Linked DNA regions of Notamacropus eugenii. The protein of the gene in region 1 interacts with the protein of each later gene in a pairwise test. Links are inferred from orthologs where the notes say so. Each region holds a gene or a part of one and is shown in the gene's direction. Other genes may lie near its edges. The genes, in order: SPA17, MYL6B and AKAP7.

What was found.
Region 2: the proteins of SPA17 (region 1) and MYL6B interact in binary tests that used the Homo sapiens proteins (3 or more experiments, as listed by UniProt). The two-hybrid records come from large-scale screens. The link is inferred for Notamacropus eugenii from reciprocal best matches to the Homo sapiens genes SPA17 and MYL6B.
Region 3: the proteins of SPA17 (region 1) and AKAP7 interact in a two-hybrid assay, tested with the Homo sapiens proteins (3 studies listed by BioGRID and IntAct). The two-hybrid records come from large-scale screens. The link is inferred for Notamacropus eugenii from reciprocal best matches to the Homo sapiens genes SPA17 and AKAP7.

The regions. Positions count from the first base shown.
Region 1 is NC_092876.1:171,509,012-171,519,623, forward strand, and holds the start of SPA17 (sperm surface protein Sp17), read left to right. Parts: upstream 1-5,940; 5' UTR 5,941-6,051; intron 6,052-6,071; exon of another isoform or gene 6,072-6,688; intron 6,689-7,214; 5' UTR 7,215-7,232; coding exon 7,233-7,386; intron 7,387-10,612. Other genes in the region: SIAE (sialate O-acetylesterase), read right to left, coding at 1,233-1,394, 5,682-5,757. UniProt on the Homo sapiens protein: Sperm surface zona pellucida binding protein. Helps to bind spermatozoa to the zona pellucida with high affinity. Might function in binding zona pellucida and carbohydrates.
Region 2 is NC_092874.1:231,419,358-231,429,583, forward strand, and holds the start of MYL6B (myosin light chain 6B), read left to right. Parts: upstream 1-6,165; 5' UTR 6,166-6,833; coding exon 6,834-7,010; coding exon of another isoform or gene 7,011-7,032; intron 7,033-7,881; coding exon 7,882-7,909; intron 7,910-8,166; coding exon 8,167-8,310; intron 8,311-9,192; coding exon 9,193-9,366; intron 9,367-10,066; coding exon 10,067-10,144; intron 10,145-10,226. UniProt on the Homo sapiens protein: Regulatory light chain of myosin. Does not bind calcium.
Region 3 is NC_092873.1:215,991,585-216,001,543, forward strand, and holds the start of AKAP7 (A-kinase anchoring protein 7), read left to right. Parts: upstream 1-5,992; 5' UTR 5,993-6,087; coding exon 6,088-6,766; intron 6,767-9,959. UniProt on the Homo sapiens protein: Probably targets cAMP-dependent protein kinase (PKA) to the cellular membrane or cytoskeletal structures.

The DNA.
Region 1 (10,612 bases):
AGTCAGCAAATATTAAGGAAAGAGTACTAGTAATGGAGTCAGGCAGATCTGAGTGCAAATCTCTTCTTCCAACACCTGGGAGCCCAGAGAAGTCATTTAATCTCTCTACACCTCAGCTTCCACCTCTATATGACGCAGATAATATTAGCCCCCCTTCATAAGATGTTGGTATCAGATGAGATAACTTATGTAAAGCACTATGTAAGCATAAGTCATCATTACTAAAGTTAGATACCAGAGTCCTAAAAATCAACAATAACGTTTTCAGTCCTCCAAAATTTTTCATTGCATGCCACTTAAATACACAAAGAATCATGAAGTCCTAGCACGAGAATGTTCGCCTAGATGAGAGGTTCTCAAACTTTCTGTAAAGGACCCCTTTACACTCTTAAAATTACTTAGGACCCTCTAAAGAGCTTTTGTTTGGGGGGGATTATATTTACCAATATTGACTGTTTGGGAAATTAAAATGCCTTAGTATTATTACAAAAAATAATTTTGACCTCACAAGATCCCCTGAGTCCACTGACCACACGAGGACCACTGACCTAGTCCAAGGTTTCTTAACTTTTTTTCTGTCCTCCAGCAGTCTGGTGAAGCCTAAAGACTCTCAGAATAATGTTTTTAAAAGCATAAAATAAAATACATAGGAAACCAAAAGTTACTGAAAATAACGATGTGATTTTTTTTCTCATTCAAGTTTATAGATTCCTTGAAATCTATTCACAGATGTCTTCAGGGTACATGGAGTCAATTTAAGAACTCCTGATCTAGTCCATCTCATAGATAAATGTCTTCTACAGCACTCCTCCAAAATGGTTATTTACCTTCTGCTTTAACACCCCCAATGACTAGAAACTCATGTTCTCCTGAGGAAGTCTACTCCATTCAAGCATTAAGGACTATCACATTCCCACATAATCTAAACTCCTGTGTCACTTGGTACAGCCTCCCCATCTGCCCCACCTTGTACGCATCCCTAACAATATGACTTCCCCAACATTCACCTGACCTAGCACCAACTGTGAGTTTCTTCATGTTCTAGTTTTCTGATCTTTCCTTCGCAAACTATTTGTGTAGTTTATATGTATATGCTCCTTACAGAAAATGCTACCACAAATTCCAGCATTACCTTTGGCCCCTGTTTGCAATGGAGCTCAAGCATTCATTTTCAGGTAATCCAGCAGATGGCAGAAGAGGACAGATGCTGAACTGAAAAGGGGTTGCCTTACCTTTCACATAGGTTATCTTCTTCATGATGGTTTCCTGAGCTTGGCGCAGAGTCACTATCACAATGCCTCCAACTTTACCATAACCCCAGACCACAGCTCCAGCTGGTTCTTTCTGCAACACCATGTGATCACCAATGTAGGAAGCAAAACGAAAATTAACACCTAGGAGGCAGAATAATTCCATTAGAGAGATTACAACCTAAAAAAGCAGATAAACAATGAGAATAGATATTTAATCCCACAATCTCATACTTATTCCTCCTAACAAGTAAATAGCCTAACCGGAATATGTATCAACACAATACATCAAATGCAGGTGAGCAATGTTGAATTCCCAAAGAGTCCACTGCCATCCAGGCATCTTCCTACCCTCATTCCATTCAGTTTACAGCTTGCTTTACCCCCTTACTCTCTATGCTTCTATGCTGAAAGAATGCCTCTTTTTCCTACCACTAATTGTCTCCTGTTACATACTTACAAATGGGAATTTATAAATGCCTTCTCCTAATCTCTCCTACATTATCTAAGGTTTCTGACACCCCCAGTGACTGAGTCTAGATGTCAGAGACAAATGCTTTATTCATTGTTTTATTCCTCCACAGCACCAAGCAAAATTTCTGAGCTTAATAAATATGTATTGAATTAGCAAACTAAAGAAGTATACATTTATCCAATGTGTTCCTTTCTTCTGGTTTTTCTCTTTTCTATGTTTGCTCTTTACCAATGATGAACTTTCCTCAAACTATTCACTATGACTTCTTGACATGCTGGGGGTCCTGAAGTGATCACTCCTAAGCATTTATAGATGTCTGTCAGAGAAACTATCTTAAAGTATTATCTTAATGGTAAATATAGAGACTGAGGCAAAGATGAAGTCTGAGAGAAAAAGTATGACCACAAATCCTTAGTATAAATTCACTATTTCCCAAAATTAAACTGACAAAAGGACAAAAAAGAATGTAGTTGAAAATGTAGATTCTGTCCTAGAGATTCACTAACAAGACCGAACAAAAAACTCGCTTTAACAAGACAATTCCTATTTTTTAACACTAAGCCTATATTGAAGTGTTTTATTAATAACAAATTTACAATCTAAATCATCTCAGTAATATGTCCATCAAAATGCAGCTAGAAATAGTACTTTGTTAAGTCACATTCTAATCATTACGCGAGAATAAAGATATTGATATTTTGTGACCTAAAGACAAATGATGAACAGGAGAGATCAGAATTAAATGAAGATGGAATTTTCCTTTCCAGGAGCTACAAATAATCTTGCAAGGTTCTTTAGATGATACCTATTGCAGTATCACAGTCAAAGCAGTCACCCACATACTCTGAGTGGACAGTCACTCTCAGCAACAGCCCAATCATTAAGGTCTCTCCTATTTATAATGAACCAACCTAATCCTATAGGGCTGCTGGGCTAGGGACAGTTAGCAAAATGCACCAAGAACAGAATACAATATCCCAGTGATTGCATAACCATATAGGCAGTTTGCCAAAAGTAAGGCATATGTGTGGGAGGTCCTTGTCTGGGGTAGGTGCTTCATACTGAACAGAAATGATAACCAGGAGCAGAGGAGTTAGGTGGGGAGAAAAGGAGTGAATTTGGGGGAGATGAAATACAAAAGAACACTTGCTGCGTATAAGCCCAAAGAAGAAACTCAGCAAAGAAATGAGAGCAAGTTGTAACACAAAGGCAGAAGAGAGCTTTCCAACTCAATCCATCATCATCAACAAACTTTTTTGAGTACAATCATGCACAACTCTGCAACAGATCTGAGAATCATTAAATTCATAGAGCAAGGGAGAACTTTAAAAATTATCTACCTTTCATTTGATAATGTGAAAACTGAGGCCCAGAGAAGTCATGTGACTTGCCTGAGGTCACAAAACCATAGGTCATGGCAAAGAAAGAAACCCAGGTTACAGAACACTTTCCAGTTCACTGCTCTTCTCAAGGGCACCACACTCTATATCCTGAGGTAAATAAAGGAGACAACATTCCTTGTCTTCAAGGAGTTCAGATTCTAAAACTGACACATGACAAAGGCACATGGAGGAACATTACCATGGTTAATTCCTTTATTTTTAACTTCTTCTCTTTGTATCCCTAGCCTTTCTTTCTTTATATCCCGTGGTGCCTTGCACATTTTTTTTTCAGACTTGTGAATTTCATTGTGTGAAGAATTCCAAGTTAGGAAACACTATCAATGCACATCTACAGCTGTTCAGCACTTTAGAATCCAGAGTTATCCGAGGTACTAAAAAGTTAGTTGACTTGCCCAGGATTCTCATGATTGATATGTGTCAGAGGAAGAGCTTGAACCCAGGATGTCCTAACAAACATCCAAACTGGTCTTCCATCCATTACACCACATTGCCTCTCACCTTGCAACATAATAGGGCTCTTAATTACGATCTCTATGCAAATGAATCATAGATTCATATATCCAGCCCCAGTATCTCTCCAGAGTTTATTGCAGTCTATCAGCCATTTTAAAATGGGTGCCTCCAGGATACCGCACACTCAACATTTCCAAATTAAACTTATTAGCTTCCCCCCAAACCTACTCCTCTCTCAAACTTTTCCTGCTTTCTGTTGAAAGTAGCACCATAACATATAAAACCTGGGAGTTATCTTTGATTCCTCACTGTTTCTCATCCCACGTAGACAATCAGTTGTCAAATCTTGACATTTAAGCCTCCCCATCTCTGGAGAATCCATCTCCCCTTCTCTCTACTCACATAGCCACCACTCTAGTTCAGACTTTCATCATCTTTTTGCCTATGCTATAGTAATGACTTTTTAATTAATTGGTCTCTCTCTCTGCCTTAAGTCCCTCCCTATCCATTCTCTACATATCTGCCTTTCCTAAAACGAATATGTGACCATGTCTCTCCCCTATTCAGTCAATTCCAATGATTCCCTATTGCATCAAAGATAAAATATAAACTCCTATGTTTAACTTTTAAAGCCCTTCAAAACCTGGCCCCAACCTCTTTCTAGACTATATATTACTTCTCTTGTCAGACTCTAAGATCTAGCTGTGCTAGCTTCTTTGCTCTTTGTAATTAGCAGTTAACCTAGAGAGTTGATATCATGCTTCACATATATCTCTCAAATCAGGTTAAGAGATATCAGGGACTTTTTGCCCCACGCACAGTTGGTGACAGGATTGTTTGTCCTTACTAGGCCAGGAATACCTAATCCCTCTCCCCCCAGGGGATCTTCACATAGCATTCATTCTTCCATTTTCCCACCTTTGTATCAGCGATCTCCCATTTGTAGAATGTACTTTCTACCCTCCCTTGCATCAGAGAATCCCTCACTTCCTTTAAGACACAGATCAAGCCCCATCTTCTATACAGTTTATCTTGAGCTCCTCAGTTTAAACGTCCTACCTCCCTAACTGCCTTGTTTTTTATCTACTTTGTTACATACATTCATTCTCTCTATATTTATATTACATGCTGTCCTCCCTGAGAGTATGGAGTGTTTATGTTTGTATCCTCAGCAAGTACAGACGAACCTGGCACCCAGTAGGTACCTAATAAATGTTCCTCGATTGATGCTTTTTTGATTACCCAGGATCTGGACAGAAATAAGAAGACATTCTTACAATAGGGCTTTTTTTTATTGCTGTCAAATGCATATACTCAAAAAAGCCCTCCCCAACATTTCTATTATTTGCAACTTTTTTAAGTTTTTTCTTCTTTTCTCGTGGGGTTGGCAGTAGAAAGCATGAAGTGCTGTCTTCAACTGGACTGAGGGAGAAGGGGGAGATAAAGGGGAGAAGATAACATGTAAAATAGCGATAACTGAAAGAAAAATAAAGACGGAGGCGAAGTAAGAGGCCAGACGAGAAAGAGAGGAACAGAGTCCTGATCAATCCCTCATGAGGGGAGTGCCCTTTTCCCTGGGGTCTTTAGTTCCAGGGGCCTCGGCACTGCTCCCAGGGCAGAGTTAAGCGGCCACGGACGCGACTCAGGCCCATCTTACTCATAAAAAGGAGGGGACTGACACCGCAGGACAGGACCAGATGCCGAGCTCCCCAGTCATCCAGGTTAGGTACCACTGGGCCCCAAGTCCCGCGTGCGCCTGGATGTTCTGGGCTTGTGGCAGGCAGGCTCCGTTTGTCAGCTCCCCAGGAGCCTCGCAGAGGCAAAAGTCACTCCTGACGGACGGGGGGAGGGGGCGAAGTTTTACCCAGCTACCACCAACCCTGGAAATGCAGTGGTCAGGGGTCCGCTACTACCCACGAAAGCCTGCGATCACCAGCGCCTCCTCCCAGGCCGGCCCTCAGCGGCCCCTTCAGGTCAAGGCCGGGGAAGGGCCTTCTCAACCCTTCTGGCCCCGGCGGAGGGCCGGGCCTGCGGAGGAGGCTCCGGGAGCCGCAGCGGGCCGAGGGCCAAGGCCAGGCCCCGGCCCGGCCCCCACCTCACCTGCTCCGCCGCCCCCGCAGGCCCCCAAGAGCCACGGCAACAATAGCAGCGCCCGCAGGCCCGAGGCCCCCGTCATAGTTCCCAGGCACCCAGGATATGCCCCTCAGGGTTTGGGGCGGGGACAGTGTGAGGCTCGGGGCGGAGACGGTGAGGTTGGCTGGGGCGGGGCTTAGATGAGGGCGGGGCCCAGCCCCACCCCAGCCTCTTTCATCTTCAGTACATGAAGCGGCTGGTGGCTCTGCCAGTAGATCGAATCTAAGCTTTTTGCTCCGTTCGGCCGCCGTAGACAAGGAATCTGCCGGAAAACGGTTACCCGGCAACGAGAAGAAACAACCGGAACCATCGGCACCGGCAGCCGGAGAAAGGAGAGGTAAGGACGGGAGCCCATCTACTCCGTCTCCGCGACTGTCGGCCGCTTTTTCCCCCTTTCCCCTGCTCCCTTTTGGCGAGCTCCCCGGAACCCTCAAGGCGACTGCTCCCTACACCCGGGGACCCATACGGCTCCCCGAGAATCGGAGACCACCCCAGTAGCGACTCCCAGCCCCCCGGAGAGGGTCGCCTCTGGCTCGGCCTGGAGGATCAGGGGCCGGCCCCATAGCTCCTTTGGCCCCCCCCAAGCCCCATCTCTCAGCCTGGCCCAAGATCTCATCACGACCCCCGAACTTCCACCTTCCCTCCGCCACACCTCCTTCCCCTCGGGCCCAGTTCACACCCTCCTTTCCCATTCTCCGAGGCCGCAGCCCTTCTCCCCGAGGTCCCCCTTCTCCCCGGCCTAAGCGACCAAGGCCTTAAGTGGCCTTGCCACCCCCTGGGACCCACCCTGGAGATTCACGCCCTCTAAAGCTGATGTAAACTTTTACTGCAAGATAGGAGAACTGGCCAAGACAAAGCCAACAAATATAAGAACTCCAAAGCCTCTGAGATTTAAGGACTTTGTTTCACCCCCAGGAATGGCAGCTTAGCACATCTAGAGAGGGACATGACCCCCCTGTGCAGAGATAGATGAGGTAAAGATGGAATTTGAGGCTATGTCATCACTTGGGCCATGATGTGATGGAGGGCCTCTAAATTTATACTAGTTCTTGAGCAAAATTTGCCTAAAGGTTTTTATTTACAGACAAGACCATCTCTACATCTTCCCTGAAGGAAGGACACTATAATCATAATATTTAATTAACCTAATGGTTTACCTTAACATAACATCTCTGGGAAGTACAGAAGTATCTGGTATGATTTTTCCCATGTAGATCCAAATAAATTAAAATACATAGTTTAAGAAGGCTTTACATCAAATTATCCACATATTTGTTGTAGAAATAAAGGATTTGGCCCACTCAATGGGCCATTGTTCCCTTACTATCAAAGGAAAGCCTACAACTTTTTGAAGGTATAGATGAGCCTGAGATTGTGCTCAAGAAAAGTTGAAGTAGAGAAGTATTTGTCTATCAGAAATCATTTACTTTAGCATTTTAATTGTGCAAATGAAGTCCTGAAATGAACTCAGTGCTCTTTAATAATCTCTGTGTACAATAGGCAGTTCCTTCCAAAGAGATGTCGATTCCATTCTCCAATACGCATTACCGAATTCCACAAGGATTTGGGAATCTTCTCGAAGGGCTGACACGGGAGATTCTGAGGGAGCAGCCGGACAATATTCCAGCTTTTGCAGCAGCATATTTTGAAAACCTACTAGAAAAAAGAGAGAGTAAGCTTAAAATGGGCTTTTTAAAGTGTTTTGGTTTTTTTAAGTTAAAGAATAATTATTTGATTTTCAATGAAATTTGCTTAAGGAAACCTATCAATAAGTCTGTTTTGACAGGTGACATTCAAAAACAAGTTTTTGGTATTTGATACAGTAATCAAAAATATATGACTTTTAGGTAGATGCCCTTCCAATAGAAGAAATTTATTTCTTCCATGAGTTTCACTGTTTTCTATTATACTAATTCTAACCTGTTTCTTTTTGTCCTTCATAATTGGCCTTTCAAGGACTTATTTAGCAAGACAGGATCTCTCCAGCATATTCATTCTGCTCCTCGGTTTTCAAGCACCTTTTAACTCAATAATTGGCTGTCTGTCCTATTTCTTAAAAATCTCCATGGAAGAAATTCCTTGAACTCCCAAACATATCCAAATATTTTTCACTTAAAAGTAGTATTCTGTAAGAGGGAATTCTACATAGTTTAAATTAAATGGTGCATAATTGTGCTTTCCTAGGATCCCACACCAAAAATGATTACTTTGCTTTATAAAGGAAACTGTCCAACTCTGTAATGGTGGCAATTTTGTTTCTATTCTCCATTGTACCCTCCCCTCTTCCCCCCACACTCTCAAGGCCTTATTCCTGCCCAGAGACAGGGATTTGCCTTTTCAGCCAGTGACTAGTTGAGAAAAAAGTCACACAACGTATTTCACTTCTACCTTCAGAATTCTCCAAGTCATAACACATTTAAGTTAGTAGGATCATTTACCCAAGACTGCAAGTAACCAAAACAGGAAGGTAAGTGGCAAAGTGGCCAGAGGACTAGGCCTGAGGTCAGAAAAGTCATCTTCCTGAGTTGATATGTGATCTCAGGCTTGAAATGTCCAATAGCTGTGTGACTCTGGACAAGTTCCTTAAGTAAGTATGCCTCAGTTTCTCTTCTATAAAATAAGCTGGAAAAGGAAATGGCAAACCACTTCAGCATCTTTGCAGAGAATATCACAAATGGGGTCCCAAAGACTTGGACATAACTAAAAACAACCAAACACCACCACTATCCAAAATTGATTGGTAGGAGCTGAAAGTTATACTAAAGCCTAATCCTACCTGAGACAAGATCTCTTTTTAAGCTACACCAATTAATGATACTCATCCAACAATGGGGTAAGGTGACTGGAAAAACCCACATTTCACATGACTCTTGTTCATTTTAAAGAGAAAGGGAGAATACCTTCTCTGAGACTGGTATAATTCAAACAGCATCTCTCCCACACTAAATATAGTTCAAAATTTTGCCCTTTCCCAGCATTGTTAGGAACCTCTGCCCAGCCCTTTTTTCCTGTACATTTCCGATCATTTCAGCATCTAATTATTATGACTAGGTCATGACCTAACAGATTTAGCTACCTTCCAATACTTTGATATATTCTCTAGGGAAAAAGATGAGAAATTCTAGACTTTGGGCTAAGATATAAAGTATTATGAGCAGTAATTTAATTATGTCAATACAACATTAATTTTGTAAGTTAAAGCAATGCAGAAACTTTATTCATTTTGTAATTTTAGAACTCATTAACTTTTCACTATATAAATATTGAGTCACGATTTCCAGAGCACAGTAATTAAAGCAACCCCAGATTTATGGTCTCTTGGTACTAGTCTTCCAACTAATACTACTTAAATACTTCCAGCTTCTACTGATGCAGATCACAGACCCTCTAGATCTTAATAGATTGTTTCATGAGTTGCTATGACTGAAAAGAAATAATCAGCTGGTGACCAACACACTGTGGTGATATGCCTCTTTGAATTCAGTTAGACTGGCACCTTATGCTTTACTGACATGGAATTTCAGAACCAAGGGTCACCTCCTCACCATGCTATCATCAGAATAGAGCTCAAGTGGACTAATAAAAGCCCACGTCCACCATATATAAATTGTCTACCCTTTTCCATGTGCTTGAAAAAAATTATAATTTTTTTAAAAATGGAGTAAAGAGATAAGTACTTTCCAGATGAAAGAGAACCTCTTAAAGAATCACATAAAAAAAGAAACAAATGATCAAAAATGGCTGCTCTAACAGATTTAACTGATTCCAAATCTGAACTACTTTCTTTCTATCCCCTTCTCTTTCTTTTCTCCCTTACTTTCATCTCTTTTTATACCCAACTTTCTCCTTGCCATGTTACACTGGAAAAAAGAAAACCTCTCCTAATCTCTCTGAAAAAAATACTTTTTAAGGCTGTTCTGTATTGTGAGGTTATTATTAGAGGATATTGTATGCTTATGTCCATTTCTTTGTATGTCTTTTGGACTGACCCTGTGATTTCATTGGTATACCCAATGAGGAAATTCCCTCTTACCAGTGTAGACAACATTTAGAATTCCTTGGGGAATTATTGAAAACAGTAGATGATTTGCCCAGTCATACCTCCAGTGTGTGTAAGAAGTAGGATTGAATCCAGCCCTTATTGGCTTCGAGGCCAGCTCTCTACTCACTATGTCAACATGCCTCACAAGGACACTTCCAGTGTAATAATAGTAATTTTTACATCATAATTTGCAACATAAATTACTCAAGCATTTATAGGACTGTATTTTTATCTGTCATATAGAAATTCATGGAAACAATAGAAATTTAATGATAACATTAAACACCAAGATCCCCAGAGAGTCATCTTAGGGATCTCTCCCTCTAAATAAAAGTTTAGCTGAAGCAGTATGGAAGGGTACATCTCTCTTCTTCCTCTTTAGGCATTAACCCAATTATCAGCTTCTCTGTATTGATCATCTTTGTTTTTCATTTTTCTCCTTATCTTATTTTGACTCCTGCCCCATCTTTCCCCCACTGTGTAAAATTATTATCTCCCCACTATGACAATATTAGGTGGCACAGTAAAGAAGCCAGGTGGGGTGTTAGTAGCCAGTGTGTTGTACTTAGGTAGATTTGTATTGAAATCCTGCCTCAGAAACATACTATCTGTGTGACTCTGGAAGAGTCACTTTAATATCCCTCTCCACCTCATTTTGCTTATCTATAAAGTGAGGTCAATAATAGTACCTGTCTCAGATCAAAAGAGACGACATACAAATAGTGCTTTGCAAACCTTAACGCACTATATACTTCCTAACTAGTATTATTATTACTATAAACAGATATCACCTCTTGTGCTAGGCACTACGTCAATGTGTTTTTGGTTAGCAGTAAAATAACTAATTTATCAAGAG
Region 2 (10,226 bases), on another chromosome or scaffold:
GCTAAAGATAAAAGCTACATTTCTGCCAAGTTTGTAACCTAGAAAACTGTTTCAAAATATCTCTATGAAAAAAAATATCACTACGGAAGCTTCATTAGACTTATTCACAAAGCCTCTATGTTGTCTCGTACATGGGATATTGACCCTAGATCCCCTCTCCTATCTCTGCTTCCTAGGCAATAAGATAGGCAGCTCTGTCCTGATTGTCTCACCACCCTTTACACACTCAAGGTAGCATTCCCCATTTGGTGTATTGTCAGTTTACATTTCAATGAAATAGCACCAATGATAACGGTAGCGCCTCAAGATGTGGGAGCCAGGTTGGGCTTTGCGGAGATATTATACATAATAATAATAGAGATATTATACATCATAATAGTAATGATAGATGTGGCCTGGCTTAGAGGACAGAGAGCCAGCCCTAAAGTCAGGAGGACCTGGGTTCAGGTTCTGTCTCTGTCTCATATTAGTGGTGGGATTCCGGGCACTTTGCCTACTTCTTAGTGCCCCAGGGAACTTTCTAAGAAAGTAAATTTCAGAGCAGACACAGGAAGGAGTTTCTGAGAATTCTCAAAATGGTGAAATCAAAGGTTCTTTCCAAAATAAAACTGTCATAGTTTGTTGAACTTTATAATTTGCAAAGTGGGGAGTGGAGGGTTTGAAGAAATTAGTTCATTTAACACAATAACTCTGTGTGGGTAGGGTTTATTATTATCTTCAGACTGAGATCCAGGATTATATAGCTAAGTAGGGAGGGGGTAACGTGTGTGTATGTTTTGTGTGCCCATGAAGAACATGTGTGCATATGAGTGTGCATAGATGTGGCTTACAGGAAGGCATGAGTGTCGACCTCTAGAGTCTCCTCCACTCATCCTTTTCCAAGAGAGACTTTGATCCCTTCCAGAAAAGGAAGCAGGGGGTTGGGGCCAGAGAGTAACCATTCTGTCCTCCTCAGAGAATGGAGTGCTTATCTAGAATTATATCTATCCATCCCCTTAAATATTGTTAACCTGTTGTTGGTGAGTCATATTTCAGTCACGTCTGACTTTTCATGACTCCACTTGGGTCTTCTTGGCAAGGATGCAAGAGTGGTTTGCCATTTCCTTCTCCAGTTCATTTTACTGTTGAGGAATTAAGACAACCAGCGTCAAGTGACTTGCCCAGTGTCACACAGCTAGTAAGTGTCTGAGGCTAAATTTGAACTCAGGAAGAGGACTCCAGGACCAGCACTCTATCCACTTTACCACTTAGCTGCCCTATGATTAGTCAAGAGGAAGTAATTTTTAGGTTCAAGACGAGCTTTATTTCTTAATGAATAAAGAGTCCCCCAAGCTATATATCCAAGGCTTGATTTACTTCCTACAAAATGCCTGCTCCACAAAGAATACTTGTAGTGAATAGCGAATGAACCCATTTAACCAAACAGATAACAAACAGAAACCAGAGAAAGTATACATATGTACCAGACAATATACAGAGGAATGAGCTCTCCCATTGGGAGTAAGATATCTCAGCTTAACCAAGAAAGAGTTCCAGATCTCTCTCTGTCTCTCTGTCTCTGTCTCTGTCTCTGTCTCTGTCTCTCTGTCTCTCTCTGTCTCTCTCTGTCTCTCTGTCTCTCTCTCTCTCTCTCTCTCTCTCCCTTCTCTCTCATACATCACCTACTCCACAGTGGGAAATTCCCCAAAGTTGCAATAAAGTAAATTGTGTATAGGAACATAATCAAGGTGCTGTTCACCTTTTCCCAAAATCTTTCTTTCCCTCTGGGGACCTGAAAAGGGTCTGGGTCTGCATCGTCTCTCTTGAAACTGGAAACTAGAAACTAAGATCTCTTTTCTCCCAGGCGCTCATCATTTCTACTCCTCACTCAGTTGTGGAACATTGAGTTATCAATCTCCGCCAATGAGGAGAGTCTTATGCAAATGAGTTTTGAACCTGAGTTACCAAAGTTACCTAATATGAGGCAGGATTCAAATTGGTCTTCCTGACTTAAAGCCCAGCATGCTATGTGCTACAGGAGGAGACTGTCCAGACAAATCACTGGCCTGGGAGCTAGGGAAAGTAGGAATTCAAACCTGTGTCCTCTAATTCCAAATATTTTGCCCTTTTCACTATTCCACCTGAGCTACTTCTCAAGATGGGCAAGAGTTTGGTGAGGGTGGGGGACAGGGAAGGAAGAATTTGAGACTCCCATCCCCTCATATAGAGCTGTGTGGCCTTGCTCATGTCACCTAACCTCAGGTTGACCTTAGATGGTCTCAGCTCTGAATGTATGATCCTAAAAAAAAGTCCTTTCCAGCTCTTGATCCTATGACTAAGCTTCATTCTGAAACTGTAGTAGCCCCTATCCTGGGACACTGCTTTTGGCTGGGACTTGGCGCCAACTTTACTGGCCACTCTGGAAAGTCTTTCCTGAAGTCTAACTTCCTTCCCTCTAGCAGTACCTTCAGTCTTTTCCCTCTCAAAGGTTTCTCTCACCTCCAACCTAGAGGGAACTCACCCAATCTAAGTGGGAGCCCTGCTGGGGTTTGGGGGAGACCATGGAAGTAAGGTAGTGATACTCCTTGGAAATTAAGACCCCTGGGGAGCCAGCGCACTAAACGTTTAAGTCAGTGGTATCTCAAGTATGTGGAAGACAACTCACTAGGCTGTGGGAAGAAAATACCAGAACTTAGGAGCAGCTCAGCTGTGCCATGAGCTTGTAGATCCTACTGGCTTTGGGGACTTTACATCCTCCCTTTCCCAGGGAGGGAACAGTCAAACATCTGCATTCCTGGGCAAGCAGGCAGGTAGGCAGATAGGTATTTCCCACCTGGATGCAGGCTGAGTTTACTCTTAGCTAGAAAATCAGCCAGGGTCCTACCCACATCTACCAGCAGGTTCAGTTCATCTCTATCCTCCCTTCCTAGCCCTGGCTATAGCAGCAGCTGTGGGCTCCTCATATGTTTCCTGACCTGAATACGCACCACTCCAGGACCCTGGGGTCTAGGCTTCAAAGAAAGAACCTGATTCCTCAAAAATAGGTATCCCTACAAAATGGATAGCTAGGTAATTCAGTGGGTAGAGCCTTGGGCCTGGAGTCAGGAAGACCATAGTTCATATCTGGCCTTAGACACTTACAAACTTTGTGACCCTCTATTTTCCTTAATCCACTGGAGAAGGAAATGGCAAACCATTCCAGTATCTTTGCCAAGAAAACCTCATGGACAGTGCTGATGTGCTATGGTCCACAGTTCACAAAAGAGTTGGACACAACTGAGCAATAACAACAGAATGGATAGTCAGGCAGCCAGGCTAGGGGTAGGGGAATGTTTTCAGAGAATGTTAACTCCTGGCTGCTCACCTTAACTTTCTGCCCCTAGTCCACCCCTGAGCACACATGCACCTACTCATAAGAGAGATTGCACAGGAGCAGACACAGAAAGTATAGGATCAAGGAGCAGGTAGCACCAATAACCAATGGTGGCAGCTGCCTGTGCACTCAGGAATCAAGCACTGGAGTACCAGTCTTGGATCTGCAGTTCTTCTCCCATCAAGACCCTCCCCGAGACCACTGTATGCCATAATACAGCTTGGAAGCAAATGAAGAAGCCCTATAGGAGACTTTTGCCCTCTCCCTGCCCCTGCCCCCTTCTCCCCTACCAGGAAGAGTTATAAGAACCTTACCACTAGAGACCATGTCCTTCCCCCAACCCATTAGGGAAAATGGAAATCTACTGGTTGAATTTCATTATCAGCAACAACAATCCTTTACATAATTGGTGGATTGTATTGAAAAATGAACACTGATTCAGGAAGCAACTCACATTACACTTTTTCCATTGGCATCATTGTATCATTGTGAAATGTCTTTTCAGTTGTAACCAAGTAAAAACGTAGCAAAGTGATGAGACGGATAGCCTTTTGGACCTAGAATAAAGAAGATCTAAGCTGATACTCTTTCTCAAACACTTAGTGGCTATGTGACCTTGGGCAAGTCCCTTGAGCTCTCTAAACTTGATTCCTCATTCTAGCACTTACTTCATAGAGTTGTTAGAAGGATTCAGTAAGATAAAACCATATGTATGAAAGCTTTACAAACCTTAAAGTGCTATATCTGTATTTACTATTATTATGAAGAGATAAAGTAAATTTAGAACCAGACCTTGAAAACCACTATATTACTAAGAGGAAGAACTGTGTTTGGATTTTGTTTTGTTTTGTTTTTTAATATCCCCAGCATTTAGCATAGTACCTGGAACAGGAGTGAGGGATCTTTGGCTTCAAGACCACACGTAGCCCTCTAGGTCCTCGAGATTAGCCTTGGATTCAGTCAAAGGGCTCTATTTGAGTTCCTAGAGGGCCACATGTGGCCTCAAGGCCACTGGGGAGTCAGTAACCTGACCTGGAACATAGTAGGTGCTTAATAAGTATTTGTTGATTGACTATTAGATCAAAATTTTAAAAAGAAATGAAGTTCAATCACATTACTCTCACTAAAATGATCATAATACATAAATAATTTTTTAAAAAGTTGGTTATTTGATATTTATCTCATTCTTGAACAACTCCTGTTCTTTTTGAAGGTTTCATTATGTATAGACTATTAGTAAGGCAGTGGATATATATTATGTATAAGTAAGTATACATATATGAGGGTATATTCAAATTTTTTTGCATAAGACAGGTGATCAAAAAAGTGTGAAGACCAACTGTTTAAAGGTTTAAATGCTGAAAGTCTGCAACTATGCTTTCAGCAACCATTTTAAGAGAAAAGAACTACATTTTCCATGAGGTCCAGACATAGGCTGAGACTACCACTCCCAGAATCCTTTGGGGATGGGCAGGCTCAGAATTAACCCATAAGTGGTCTTATCAGAACCACTCAGTGACATAGGCAATTTAAATTTAAGGGTGGCGTTTGGCTCTGTGGCTAGGACTAGATTAGATTGAATCAATCATTTCCTTGAATCCATCAGAGTTATTGTGTGGGAGACTGGGTTACACCCTTTACTCACCTTTGCACTAGCTTTAATCTGCTTTTGATGAATAGAGAATCTGACGCTTAGGAGAAGGGAAGTAACTCAGGCAACAGAGCTGGGAAAACTTGGTGGTATGGTGGAAAGCACTGAATTTGGAGGTAACAGACATGAGCTGAAATCCTGACTCTGACACTGGTCAGTTGTGTGCCCTTGAGCAAGTCATTTAGTTTTCTGGGCTGATTTTCCCTTGTGTAGCCCCACTTACTGGTAAGCCAGTTTGATGGCACTTGTACTCTTCCACTTCAGTTGTGGACTCACTTTGGAGGACCTGGGTTCAGTCCTGTGGGAGCCTGGTCTTTTTTCAGAGAGGAGTCATGATCTTTTTGTCACACTCTTTCTTTCCACCCCCAAACCGAGAGCCTAAGGGGAACTCTCTTAAAACTTGGGTTTGGCCCATGTCTAGAGTCTCCCCAAAATATGAAATGGAAAGATACTCAATAGATATAGGACAGCTATTTATTTCCTCCACAAAAAAAAATATGCTAAAAATACAGAAGATTCCAGCCTGCGCTCGAATTCGAGATTTGACCTTTTGGACCTCTGTTAGTATTAGATCTGAGGGAATTCAAACATAGATTCTTGATGGTATCCTTCTCTGAACTATAGTCTCAGAGGTGACCATTTCAGGATTTCTCCATCTACTTTTTAGAGTTACCTTAGTTTCCTTATCTAAAACATGATGAATTTTCAACTGAACCTTGTTACTCTCCCCATCTCTTTCCCTCTCCCTTGGATCCCATAGGGATCAATACCTGCAGCACAGACCTAGGTGAGGGTGGAAGTCCATGTTGCCCCTGTGTCTGGTTCTGGCCAGCCTGGAGTCAGGGGGTAGGGTAGGGTAGGGTTGAAACTGGTGTGTGAGAAATGAATAATGGGGAGGCTCATTAGGATTTCATTCTTGGGTTCACTCAGGGATGGAGAATTAGCCTTTCTTCCTGACTCAGGACCCTGCTACAGCCTCTTGGCACCAGAAGTCGTTCCAGACCCTTTTCTGTAATACCAAGGCTTGAGTGTATGTTAACTTTGACCTCCATCTGCCTTTGCCGGCCAAGGGGATAGTGTGTTGGAGCACAAAGCCCAGCCTCCCACACTGTCCTTTCTTTATCCTATTTCCCTCCCTCCCAATTTGCTCCTTACCATATGTGGTTCTGGAGCCGGGTAGGGGCAGGAGTGTAAACAGCTGGGATTAGGGGTGATGGATACTGATACCCCACTTCCAATAGCCTGATCCTTGAAAAGGACTTTGGGGAGGGGGAGGAAGTGAGTCATAACTTCACCCTCAACTGTGAATTCTTCCCTCCTCCCAGATGCATCCCACTCCTAGTCTGCAAGAGATTAAGATTTCAGGGGGAGAAAATGTTTCTCCCAGAGGAGAGGGGGTGCAGGGGTTGAAATGTGTGAGTTCTCTTCTGCCTTAGCCTTTCCTCTATCTGTGACTATAAATCTGAGATACCATGGTCCTCTCTGTTGGAGTGATTCCTGCTCACCCAAGGGTGAGACTTTTCATCTAGGCACCCAGTTCCCCATCACCCCCATTCCCTTATTCTCAGAGGGGGCAGTAACTTGGTAAAATGCCTTGGGAAATGTGGGCAGAAAGACAGAGACCTTGGGGCAGGAGGCCCAGAGTGAGGGAGGCAGGAGAGGTAGAGGGCAGGCAGGCTACTTTGTCTTTGTCTTTCTCCTCCACCTCACCCCCCCCACCCCAGTCTGGTCTCTGCTCCCGCCCCCTTGATATCCCATACTACTCCCTGGCTATTTAAACTGAGTGCCCCCTCCGGGCACTGTTCTTGTGCCCGTCATCCATCATTCACCATGGCTCCCAAAAAAGACGCCCCTGTGAAGAGGCCATTGGGACCTGCTGCCCCCAAACCTGCTGCCAAGCCAGCCGTTGCCCCTCCAGGGAAGCCCAAGCCTGAACCAGCTGCTCCCCCTGCCTCAGCAGCTCCCACCAAACCCCAGGAGTCCCCCATTGACCTCTCCAAAGTGGTGGTGAGTCTCTCAGCCCACAAGGGTCAAGATGAAGGGAGGGGGGCAGGGATGGGAGAATGGGGAGGCTTCTTTAGGAGGAAAGGATTTGGAGAAATGATGAATGGTATAAAGGGGCATGGAGATGGGATAGGGGAAATGGGGGAGGAGCTAATGGAGCTGCTATAATGATGTGAGGATTGCCTTAGCCCCTCCCATAACAAACCCAGAAGCCAGATACTAAGTCTATAGAATGGGGTTAGCAGGGCTCTGAGGCCAGGCACCCCAATTCTGCTGTTCCCATGTTCACTTTTCCCCTCTTGCCGCGTCAATGTGGCATATAATGGCACCCCTGTACACCTTGAATGGAGAACAGGGATGTGGGGAACACAAGAATCTGGGAACAGAGATGCTCAGCTCCTTGGGACTGTTTCACAAGAGAGAGAAAGAAGGGGCCAGTGTCCATCAGAGGGTGGACTCTTCAGGGCCTAGGAAAAGAGGCTGAAAGAGAGGGAAAGAGCCTGCTGCTCTGAGAAGGGAGGGTGGGGAGGGGGACTTGTTAGACAATCACAGCTGGGGGTGTGGGGGTAAATTTAGCTTTTGTTCAACTGCCGGTTATGTGAGGGATGCAGGGTTGGGAGAGCCAGGGGGAGGGGAACAGGTGGTGCTGGATTAGCCTTGTTTCCCAGGAAGGTCTCCCTCCCACATACCCGCTGCTAGTATTCTCCTAAGGCTTGGAGCTGGGAATGGGACTCAGGCGCTCTTAGCTCTCAGCTGGGTCCCTTTGGGCCACTCCACAGAGGCTGCCAATTATAAGGGATGGGGGAGGGGGTCTGGCCTGGACTGGGGGTTTCATGGCACCCCACCCCTCTTCACACTGTCTTTTCCTTCACAGATCGAGTTTAACAAGGACCAACTGGAGGGTGAGGAGACCATAACCACCCACCCCCACCCTGCTATCCTAAATCCCTTGTCACAGTCTTGTCTTTCTGTCTCCCTATGTCTTTCTCTCTCTCTTTCTCTTTTTTTTACAGCCCCAGAGCTGCCCTCCACATTAGTTCTGTCCTCAGAATTTCTTCCTCCTGCTGTATTCTACCTTAGTCCACTATTCTGAGCCCTGCTTCCAACCTGGGGATAGAGGGAACCCTTTGGCTAACCCCAATTCCCTCCCCATTCCCAGACTTCAAAGAGGCCTTCCAGCTGTTTGACCGAATAGGAGATGGGAAGATCTTGTACAATCAGTGTGGGGATGTGATGCGGGCCCTGGGCCAGAACCCCACCAATGCTGAGGTGCTCAAGGTTCTGGGTCACCCAAAGAATGATGGTGAGACTGCAGGAATTATGAGCCATAACAGGGAGGATGGTAGCAGGACAAAAAAAGAAATGATGACCAAGGGCTCACAAGTTGTTGTTAAGTACTCTAAGAGTGAGTTGAGTGGGGCTGGTCTGGGTACCCTTACAGGTAATACTGGAGGTGGGGATGGTTCTTTGCCATAGGTAGGGATTTTGTAGAAGCAATTCGGTTCAGATAGGGGTTGGACTAGATTCAGGGGTGGGGAACCTTTGGCCTCAAGGCCACATGTGGCCTTCTAGGTCCTCAGGTGTGGTCCTTTGACTGAATTCAAACTGGATTGTGTTTATGATAATAAAATGTAAGGGATTAATGAAAAACAGACAGACAAACTGGAAAGTGACAGAACTGGCTAAGGTTCATAATTATTAGCTCAAATGAATTGATGAATGTCACTTTGTCATGGGTGTTCAGCCATTCCAGTCATGTCTGACTCTTTGTGACCCCATTTGGGGTTTTCTTGGCAAAGATACTGGAGAGGTTTTCTATTAATGTTCAACTAGGCAGAAGCCAGAAAAGACCCTTAAAAAGATAAGACAAAAGTATTACTAAAAGATGAGAATAGCAGTGACTCCTCCAAATATAGTTTAATGACATATTCATATACCGTATATAAAAGATTTATAATGTGTCATAAAACACAATCTACATGCACGTACAGTAAAATTCTATTTGCTAAAAAAAAACAAACCAAACAACAAACAACCAGATAGAACTAGAATGATACAGATGGGTTAAATGGGATGGTTCTAATGGAACTATCTACTGGCTAGAGATCCCAAGTAATGAGGGTTGGATAGAGGAGTCCTAGGAAGGGGTCACTTAGCACACTCTATCCCCCCCACCCCTCCTCAGAGCTGAACTCCAAACGTGTGGACTTTGAGACCTTCCTGCCCATGCTCCAATCAGTGGCTAAAAGCCGGGACCAAGGCACATATGAAGACTATGTTGAAGGACTTCGAGTGTTTGATAAGGAAGGGAATGGTACAGTCATGGGGGCTGAACTCCGACACGTCCTCACTACCCTGGGTAAGATTGTAAAAAAGATGGCTCATGAGTGGAGGAGAAGTTCACTTGAGATTAAAGGGTAAGATCCCAGATTTTTGGAACTGAACAAGGGAAGAGAACAAGGTGCAGCCCAGGTGCAGGCGTGGGCTTCATGGTCATTGTGGAGGGTAGGTATGTTATGGGAAAGAGGAAGGCAGGGCAGGCATGGCAATTGGAAGTGGCCATTTCAGTCCAGTCTAGGCAAGGAATGACATTTCCTGGAAGGGACATATTTAAAGAAGCAAGAATAGTTAGGAAAGTAGCCAAATTGGGGAAGACCCCAAACTCCAGGGAGCAAGACCTAGGAAATTTCTTAATGTTCTGACAACCTGAAGTGTAGTGGGAAAGTGATGAATCAGAAGACACAGCCTCCAATTCTTCTGCCACTGATTGGCTGGGTGGCTTTGAGAGAGTCACTTTCATCTTTTGTCCTGGAGACAATGAAACCTGGGCTTCCTAGGTATTCTGCTAGCATGAGTGAAGTCATTTTGAAGAAAAGCAAGGTATCGATAAATTTGTAATAGGGGGCATGGGACTGGGGAGGAAGGAGGAAAAGGAAAGGAGAGAGAAGGCTAAGATGCCTCTGTTTGGGGGACTAGATGAGGAAGTACCACTCCTAAATAGTATGGCTGAAGTTGGGGTGGGAGGGAATAGGTTCCAAGTTTATCTGCTTCTGCTATAGGAGAGAAAATGACAGAGGAAGAGGTAGAAACCCTCCTGGCTGGACACGAAGACAGCAATGGTTGCATCAACTATGAGGGTGAGAGGGTGGGGAGGAGTGGAAGTAAGAGGTTTGGAGAGTATGTGTGTGAGTTGGGAGAGGCAGTCGTCCTGGGGAGTGG
Region 3 (9,959 bases), on another chromosome or scaffold:
CGGAAGTCTCTATGTGCCTCCCTAGAAAAGATGAACAAACATGGATACGCAGACTATGCTTGACTGTTGTTTCAGACATAGCAGCAAAGCTTTCTTAAAAGTGGGTCACTGCAACAATGGAAGCAGCATGCTTTTGTGAGGGCAGAGATTGAAAGGGACTTAAAATCCTCTTCTGTGAAGATAAAAAAAAAAAGGACTTAGCAGGTCCCTCCCAAGGATGTTCATGGAAAGTTACACACTCCTTAAGTCAGTGATATTCTGGAGCCAGCTCCTAATGGCTCGCCAGAGCTGACGAAAATTTGCAGTGTGAGCATTTACATCTTGGAAATCAGCAAAAAGTTACAAATCAGAGCTTGATTTATTATTTTGTTGATTTCTAGACTTAAGAAAGCGATAGACAACATGTTAGTAATGTAGACTAACTTTAAAGTATGTGGTGGGTTCATTTTTTTATGAGTTAGTTATTAAACGTTTACTAGAACATACCTACTTATAGCAGAACTGTGAAGCTAGAACAAATCGGAAATAGAATATGCAACATTCTGAACAATGTGGTTTGTTTGTTTTGCTTTCCCTAGGAGGGATAGTGAGTTTCTTGAGATGTCTAAATTTAGAACTCTTGAGACAGAGGGATTTCTATATGACAAATGCTGAGACCTCTTATACAAGAAGAGGGGCTAGATAAAGCACCATATAACGTAGGAACCTCCCAGAAAGGACAATGGATAGCACAGGGTTTTTCTTTTTTCTTTTTTCAAAATTTCAAGGTCCCAAAGTAAATGATGAACTAGTCCTGAAACAAAATAGAAATTGGGTGTGTTGGGGAAGAAAAAGACATACCTTCTCTCTAATATGCCATCCATGATGTCTGATTACAAATACAAATTTGGTAGCAAAAATAAATTAATTAAGAGGTTGATAGAGACAACTAGGAGAAAGAAGAGGATAGCAATGGCCATTTTTTTCAAGTTACAAATCTTTGGCAAAATATAATCTGCTTTTTATTATGCCAGGTGACACTATAGTAACAGTGGGATAGTGGAACATGGTCTTGGAGTCAGAAAACCTAAGCTCTAATAGTTACTATGTGACCTTGATGATTAATTTGTGCCTCAGTTTCCTTATTTGTAATGCAGGAAAGGAATCATTGAAGAAATGCATAAATGAAAAAGATGTGTTGGTTATAGGAGTAGAGTGAGGGATCATTGCCTGGCAGTCTCTCATTGGGCTTCATGGGTATCCTCATGTTGCCAAAAGAAAGCAAAGAAAGTCCCAGGAACACTGAGTGTACTCTTAGGGCAAACCCATGGAAAGATATGGAGAAGGATCACATGGGATGGGTAGAAACAGACAGATTGAAATCTGCAACATTGTCAGGAATACTTGTATCAGTAAGATCAGAAATCCATTGGAAGATTTTAGCTTAAAATAGGGATAATATTACTTGCAATTACTTACTTCATAGGGTGATTGTGAAGAAAGTATTTTAGAAAATACTATTACAAATGTGATTGATTATTTATTGTCAAAATAGAACTAAGTGATGTTAAAAATTCTACCATCTGATTTTCAAAGGCCCAAGTTAATAAGACTAAGCTTATAATTAATTTTATTCCCTAGACTTAAAATTTTCCTATCTGGTGTTCTTTCAAAGAAGGTGTCTTTTGAAGAAAGGTAGAGGCCAGCAAAATGAACTGTTTTGTTTATAAACCTTTTGTGGCCATATGGATCATTTATCATGATTGGACTTGGCGATCTCTAAAATTCTTTCCACCTCTAAACCATGATTCTATGCTACTTTACAAAAAAAGCAAAATAAAAATGCAGAATGGATTGCTGTTATGAATGGATCCTCATTTGAAAAAATAACCTAAAAGTTGTGAATATTAACATTTGTATCCATAATTTAGATAAGACCATAGTTGCCATGGCAAGTGTCTTCAAATAGTTGAGGGGTTGCCGATAAAGGGTTGGATTTATTACACTTAGTCTCAAAGACAGAATTTCTATATTTGTAGAAGATGTAGAAAGGAAAATTTCAACTTAACTTGAGGAAAGACTTCCTAACAGAGATGTCCAAAATTGATGTCAGCGTCCTTGAAGTGGAGTTATAGTGACCAGCTCTGGAGGATGTTGTAGAAGGGGTAGATTCATGCTCTAGAGGTGTAGGTTGAACCAGATGATTCTACCATTCCATGGAAACAGCAACATAGAATTTTTTTCTGGATTTTAAATGGAATTTTTCCCCATGTTGTGCTCTGAAAAGGAGGTAGTATCACATTGTGGAAAGCATCAACAGCTTGGAGCCTTTCACTTGCTAAGAAAGTCATTTACTGTCTCATAGCCCCAGTGTCCTTATCTGCAAAATGGGGATAATAATAGCCCCTATTTCACAATGTTGTGAGGATCAAATGAGAGAACAGATATAAAATGTTGATTTGTCTCCTTAAAATATCTGTCTACTCTTTTCTATTCCTATTGCTACAATCTTAGTCCAGATTTCATGGCCTTAAGTGGACAACTGCAGTTGTCAACTCTTCTGTAGAGTTCTCTATTTCGTTTTTGGCAGTTAGTTGGCCAACTGGATAAAGTATCTGACCCTGGAGTCAGGAAGACCTGAGCTCAAATTCAACCTCTGACACTTATGTAATGCTCATTAGATCTTCCCCACCCATTAATAGGCCTCAAGTACCATTTGTTAATTTCTGTTGAGGCAGTGGGTCAGAGGGTCCTGCCTTCCAGCTCTGAAAGTGTATAAATACTCTGAGGTGAGGTTTTACTTTGGGCTTACTCATTGAAAGTGTTTGGCCAGATAAGACTGGGCAGTAGCTAAGGAGCTCCAGCTTTGAAAACCCAGATGTTGGTGCTTCTCTCTCTGGTAACTATGTATGTATGTATGGTCAGAAATTTTGATCTGTCTATTGATCTGTGATGTATGTATTGCTTACAGTCAGATAGTTGGAAGCCCTGTCTATTGATTATTATTTCTTTGTATTTTCTTTGAAGTTCAAGGTGCTGACTTTTTCCCCTGAACTAAGTGAATGACATGCACTTGATTAAAGTGATTGTTGACCTCTCAAAAGCTGCTTTCCTTTTAGAAAAGCAGATCTAAAAACCTGTACAGCAGGCCCTTCTGTGTACGTCAGGGTCCTTGCTGAAACAACTTACTAGCTGTATGATCCTAGGCAAGTCATTTAACCCTGTTTTGCCTAAGTTTCTTCATCTGTAAAATGAGCTGGAGAGGGAAATGGAAAATCACTTTAGTACCTTTGCCAAGAAAACTCTAAAACTAAGAGTCAGACATAAACAACAGTTTCAGTTACCTCCTCACTTTTAGTCCATCTGAAATTACTCTTCCTTAGAGTATATCTCTGATCATGGCAAGCCTTTACTCAAAAAACTTCAGTGGCTCTATTCTGCCTATGGAATTAAGTCCTTGGAATTGAATGACAATTAGGGCCCTCTATACTCTGGCCCCAACATAGTTTTATAGCTTTATCTTACTATTCACTTAACATTTATTAAGAGTTTGTTACATGGAAGGCACTAAAACACCGGACCTAAAAATAGGCAGGACCTGCACTTCTATTCAACAGTCATAATGGATCACCAACTTTCCCACAATATATTCCTTGCCTTCCCTCCTCTATATTGGCAGAAAGAATGCCAGCCATGGAATGAGGTAAAAACTGGGTTTGAAACCTATCTCTTACATTAACTAGCTGTGTGACTCTGGGAAAGTCTTATAGCACTGGTTTTCTTCCTCTGTAAAATGGGAATGATAATACTCCTCATATTCAGCTCACTGGGTTTTTGCAATGATCAAATGAAGTGAGGTATATAAATTGCTTTGTAAACCTTAAAGAGATATTTATCCAACTCGTCCAAAACTATGGCACTCAGATGGTTTTATGTGTGCAATTAGTTCCATCTGGAATTGCCCTATTTTGGTTATTGCCTATAGAGAGTCTACCCATCCTTTAAGGTCTAGTTCAAAGAGACTCTTCAGAGATGCACCTTGATGAAATGGTTAGAGGACTGGATTTGGAACCAGGAAGACTGCAGTTCCTAATCCTCCCTAAAGTATTACTGTGTGACTCTAGCCTAGTTTCTTGATTTCCCTGGGCCCAGGGTTTTTTGTTTCTTTTTTTCCCATCTGCAAAATGAAGCATTTAGACACTGTGGTCTTGAAGAAATTCCTCTTCCCCCCCAAGCTCTAAATCTATAACTTCAGTTTTCTGATTCTTAGTTGTCATCCAGGAATTACCTTCATCAATGAAATCACAAGTCCAATCAATCCCTATCTCTGTATTAAAGTGATGACAAATGCTTGGTTCAAGTGATAATAAATTCAATATTTCCAGATAAGTGCAGTGTAAATTCCCTTATCATTTTGTATCTTTTTGGTGTTCTGCCTGGTATCAGTCTCACAGTGATTTGTCTATTTCACAGAAATACTAACATAAGAGTTACAAAGGACTTTAGAGATCATGGGACCCAACACTTTCTCCTTGTTCTAAATGGATTGTTGGTTTCTTAAAAATAAGGTCTAAGAAAACCAAAAACCAAAATACAAACGTCATTTTTTATATACCTCCACAGACACATAACAGGTGCACAAGAAATAGGATGTATAGTTAAGCTGTCAAAGCTTAAAATTGCAGTAAGACTTTTAGGATACCCTGTTGTATGTAAGGAGGATTTTGTTATCCCTTTTAGAGTTCAATTTTTTAGAATCCATGGCCCTGGCAATGTCTGGTTTCAAGGTGTTGGATAATAACTCCCAGAATAGCCCCAAGGATCCTAGATAGTAATTCCTAGAATCATAGTGACAGACAGTCCTACTGAGGCTGCCTGTGAGATAAGGGGTGACATAATTGCTATTTGCTAAGCTTCTACAGAATGAAGATATTGCTAAAGATAACCTGTGAGTTTGATGTTGGCAAGATGCCTTCTTTGTCCGTTGACCTATAAAGAAAGTGGGCACTGGTCAGTTGATTGGGGGGAAACCACCAGGTAAGTCATCGAAGTTTAAGGGGACTTAGGGGAGTACATACACAAGCTGTGCCTGTCTCCACTGACCCCATGGAGAAGTAGAGGTAGTTGCCCCCTCTTCTTGCCAGCCCCTTCCAGAAGGGAATGCTGTAGGAGCTGGTTCTTCCATTATCAGCAACCTTTCTGGGAAGACTAGACCAGACTAAATAAAGCAAGATTAACTCCTCTGAAGGTGTCCGCCTGTTTGACCAGATCAAGAGTGAACCTATTAGAGGCTGGAGTCCCCAAACTCCAGTGCCTCCTGTGCACTATTTGTGAAACACCTGTATTGTGAAATAAGTGAAGGTTGAGGGGATGCTCCAAAGCCTCTTTTGTTTTCTGTTTGTGGTGTATGGACTAGAGAGCTGAAGGAATTGTAGCAGTATTCGGTACCGTAGTAGGTTTAAACATGCTGGCCGAATTAGCGGAAGGATTTACCTAGTCTTGTTTTTATTTTTGCAGTTGACTAAAGCTATTATGTAACTGTTACTCTGGGGATTAAAGAAAAGTTCTACTGTTTCTTCCCAGAGCTGATGTCTATTTCACTTTGCAGAGAGAACTAAATCAGTGGATTCCCTACTTCGAAGCTGGGCTTGGCCTCAGTTACTCTGGTCCACTTAGCTTTCTCCTTTCATTCCACTCTCCAGGGGCGGCCAGCACACTTGCACAGGGTGGTTAAAGCCCCTGGCCCCGCCGCCCAAGCCCCATGACGCCCTGTGCCCGCGCTCCTCCCCGCGGAATTCCCGGGGCCTGGGGCACAGGACGTTCCATGCCCTCGAGCGCCCAAGTTTCCCACGAGCACACCTGCTCCTCCCCCAGCCCCTCCCTCCCATCTTCCGCACGTGTCTTCTCTCTCAGCTGTGTCTGCAAACTCGCGCAGGGCGCTCGCCTTGGGGAGTGAGTGGGTGAAGGAGGGGCCCATCGGGGCAGCAGTCTGCCGGCCTTGGGGGGCCGGAAAGCCGGCCACCGAGGAAATCGCAGAGGGGCGCTGGGGAGTCGGAGCCGCGTTCGGAGGAGACGGCGCACCTGGCGTTCTCCGTCGCTCGCCTCTCTATGCTTCCCAGGCCGCCCGGGTTTGCGCCGCAGCGGCGGCCGCCCCTGGGGCTCTCCCCTGGCGGAGTCGGGGCGCTCCTGCGGCCCCGTCCCGGGCCAGAGCCCGAGCTGCGGCGGCTCCCTCGCGCTCCCTCGAGCCGGGGCATGCTGCTGCTGCTGCTGCTGCCGCCTCCACCACCGCCGCTGGTGGCGCTGGTGCTGCCACCGCCTCCCCCGCCCCGGCCCGGGGCGCTGCTGCTGCATGCCGGCGGGACACCGAGCTGCCGCCGCTGCCGTGCGGGCCTAGCCGCCCGCTTCTCGTGGGCTGCCCCAGCGGACCCGCAGCCCGGGCCGGCTCCGTCTCTGCCTCCGCTGCAGCAGTCACGCGGACGCGGGGGACCGAGAGGAGCCGGAGCCGTGGTGGGAGGAGGAGGCGGTGCGGGCCGCGCGGCCTGCCGTGCCTGGCCGCCGTCTCCCCCTCCGCTCCTGCCCGCTCCCCTCTGCCTTTTCCCAGTCCCCGCAGCCCGTAGCGGCCCAGCCCTCCTGCCCCCAGGGCTCGTGCTGCCTAGGGCTCCGGAGCCCGGGAAGCCGGGCGGGCTACTGCGGGCCTGGGCGGTGCCAGCCTCTGCTTTCTCCTCCTCCTCTGCCTCCGGGGAGGAGTCCTTCAGGTCGGCCCAGGAGATGGATCCCCCGGGAAACGGTGAGAGCCCGCAGGGCGATGCCGGGCCAAGGGGTGGGCGCCGGGCCGAGGCCGCCGCCGGGGGCTCCGCGCGGCCCACGGTCCCCGACGCTTTCCGCCGGCCCGCCCTCCTCGGGCTCTCGGCCACCCTGGGGTTGGGAGGAGGAGAAGGAGGAGGCGCCGGAGTGGTGGTGTCACCCTCGTCACCCCGACTTTGAGGCCCCTCCAAAGAGGAGGCGTCCTCACCCTCTTCCCAGTCATTCGGGAACTCCAGTCAGGAGCACAGACCCCCTTCTCCCCCGCTGAGACCAGCCCCAGGGGTGTGATAACCGTGGGGGACCTGCAGACAGGAGAGAACCCCCCCCCCCCAGTGCCCCCAGACCCGGTAAATGCCAAGAGAACGTTTTAGGACATTAGAGTTACCACGGCGGGAAAAGAGGGCCTTGGGCTAGTAGACCCCCTCCTTTTACAGATCAAGAAACCAGTATTGCTTTGTCCTTTTTTGGAGAGGACCGGTGACATCATGGGCTTGATAAGCTTGTTCCTTTTTTGCACCGAAATGCATGGTAGAGTGGAGGAAAAGACATTGACCCTGGGAGTTCAAATTCCTGCTTTTGAGGCTTGGTATCCCTCCTTTCCTGGCCTCGATTTTCTTTCCAACAAAATGAGAAAGTGCCCTTGTTTAATCCATTTCACTTCGTCAGTTACTAAGTATCAACGCGGGTATTTGAACCCAGGTCCTCTGACTCCAGAGGGCTTAGCTTTCTCCGCTGGTACACGCTGCCTCTTGAGGTAATAAGAATTCGCAGAGCTGTGGGAAGCAGACAAATCCTTACAGCTCAGTTAAAAGGAAAAAAAATGCACATGCAGCAGTATGGCCCTCATATAATAATTCTGTTATACTAAGGTGCCTCTGTTTCTCGGTAGAATTTTGATAACATAGATTTGTACGGTTTTGTTTTGAGAATTAGACCCACAAGGGACTTTTGAGGTCATCTCTCATAACACTTTCTCTTTTTCAGTGGAGGAAACTGAGGCCTGGAGGGGTTCAATCACGCATATAAATTCATACAATCTCCCAGCCACATAACAAAATGCAGACTCTTAAGTTTCACTTTTGTTTCACAGTACTTTTCTCTGGTTTCTAGGCTAAAGTTCATGGCAAGATCCACAGATGAAGCATTTGTATAGCAAACATGAAAAAAAGGAAACAACCCTCTTTTCTTTGCTGTTTAATTTTGCAGCTCTTTTCCTTGTAAAAATGCAAATTTGGGACTCAGACAATCTGAGCTGTTTCTCTTTAATATGATATTATGGGATTAGAAATAACCTTATCTTACTGTTAAGATGCTAGATCCAGTGAATCTAGTGATCTGCTTCTAATTTTAGAAGCAAACATTATTTACTGAGTGACCACTGTTTGTAGAACCTAATGCAGAGCTTTGGAGATAAGAATCAAGGGGACAGAGCTGTAAGAAGGAATAAAACAAATAGAAAAAGAGGATGTTTATCCTTAAGGAATTTGTAGGACAAAAAAACACAAAATCAAACAATGTGTTTTTGCACATTAATCTATGAAAATCTGGAGGAAATGTAGCAATCAGAATTGAGTAATGTCAACTTGAGATTATTTTGAAGTTGTCTATTTAAAGTGAGAGATTTTATTTCATAAGGAAAGAGAAAAGGGACTATTAAATTGAAAGGAAAGGCATGAGTTCATAGTGGTTGATATGATTGCTTTAAAAAATTTTTTTATGAAAAATTAGGACCCTATTCAGTCTTTCTCTCCATTAATAATGTTAACAAAGCGTAAGACAAAATCATAGAATCTTAGGAATTGGGTGAGTATGAAAGATGGTCTAAACAACCCCCCAAGTTTATAGATAAGAAATTGAGGCTCCACAAAGTAAAAAGGACTTTATCCAGGTTATACTACTAATAAATGTGATCTAGTAAGCTAGTATCTTTCCCCAAAAAACCACTTTTTTTTTTAACTTCACTATTCTCTAAGTGCCATCATGATTCATCCAGTTTCCTGTGTTTAAAAACTTGGTGTTATAATTTATTATTTCTTTTCATTTATCTTTGGTTCAGTTGGTTATAAAATCCTGTTGAATCTACGCTGGTATATCCTAGCCATCTCAGTCCTACTATCACCATACTAACATACTTACTTTCTAGTGGCTAGAGCATTGGGCATGGACTTGGGGAGATCTGTGTTCAAATCCAGCCTTAGATAATAGTAAGCTGTGTCACCCTGGGCGGTAAAGTGGCAGCGTGCTGGGCCTGGAATTAGGAAGACTCAGTTTAATGAGTTCAAATGTGATCTCAGCCATTTACTAGCTGTGTGAACCTGGGTAAGTCACTTAATCCTGTTTGCTTCAATTCCTCATTTGTAGAAAAATGAGCTGGAGAAGGAAATGGCAAACCATTCCAGTATTTTTGCCAGGAAAACTGGAAATGGGGATCACGAACACTTGGACATGCCTGAACACTACCACCACTCTGGGCAAGTCTCTTAACTTCTGTTTGCCTCAGTTTCTCCAACTATAAAATGGGCATAATAATAGCACCTATCACCCAGGATAGATCTTAAATGAGGTAATATTTGTGAAAAAGCACATAGAACAGTGCTTCATATGTAGTAAGTGTTATCTAAGTATTTATTTCCTTCCCTTTTTTTCTCCTCCCCATACATGCAACATCCTTGTATATTAGTTGATAGTATTTGTGTCATTCTGTAAATGAAGAAGCCAAGAAACTGAGATTTTAAGTGGCTTGTTAAATATCACAAAGTTTTGCAAAGTTTAAAAGTCTATACGGTTAACATCATTTTGTTGAAATTCTAGTTGTTATTTCTAACAAGTCACTCTTTGTTCTGAAGCTCAGTTTCCATATGTATAAATGAGAGAGTTGTCCGACATGATTTTAAGGTTCTTATGAACCTATACATCTCTCATAGAACTGTTAGTGGAGTGACTTGCTTAGGAAACTTGCATTTGACTTTTTAAATACAGGGTATCCCAAAACGCTAGTTTTAAGTCTTAATATCTCAGCTTTGGAGCATCCTATATAAAATTTGTCATTTTTGTGTGATAAGGGACATCATATGCATTTTGTTCTTATTTGGTATCAATAGGGTTTTAGTGAAATACCAAACAGTATATATCTGCCAGCAATTTTTAACATGCTTTATTAAGTGTAGGGCTTTCAA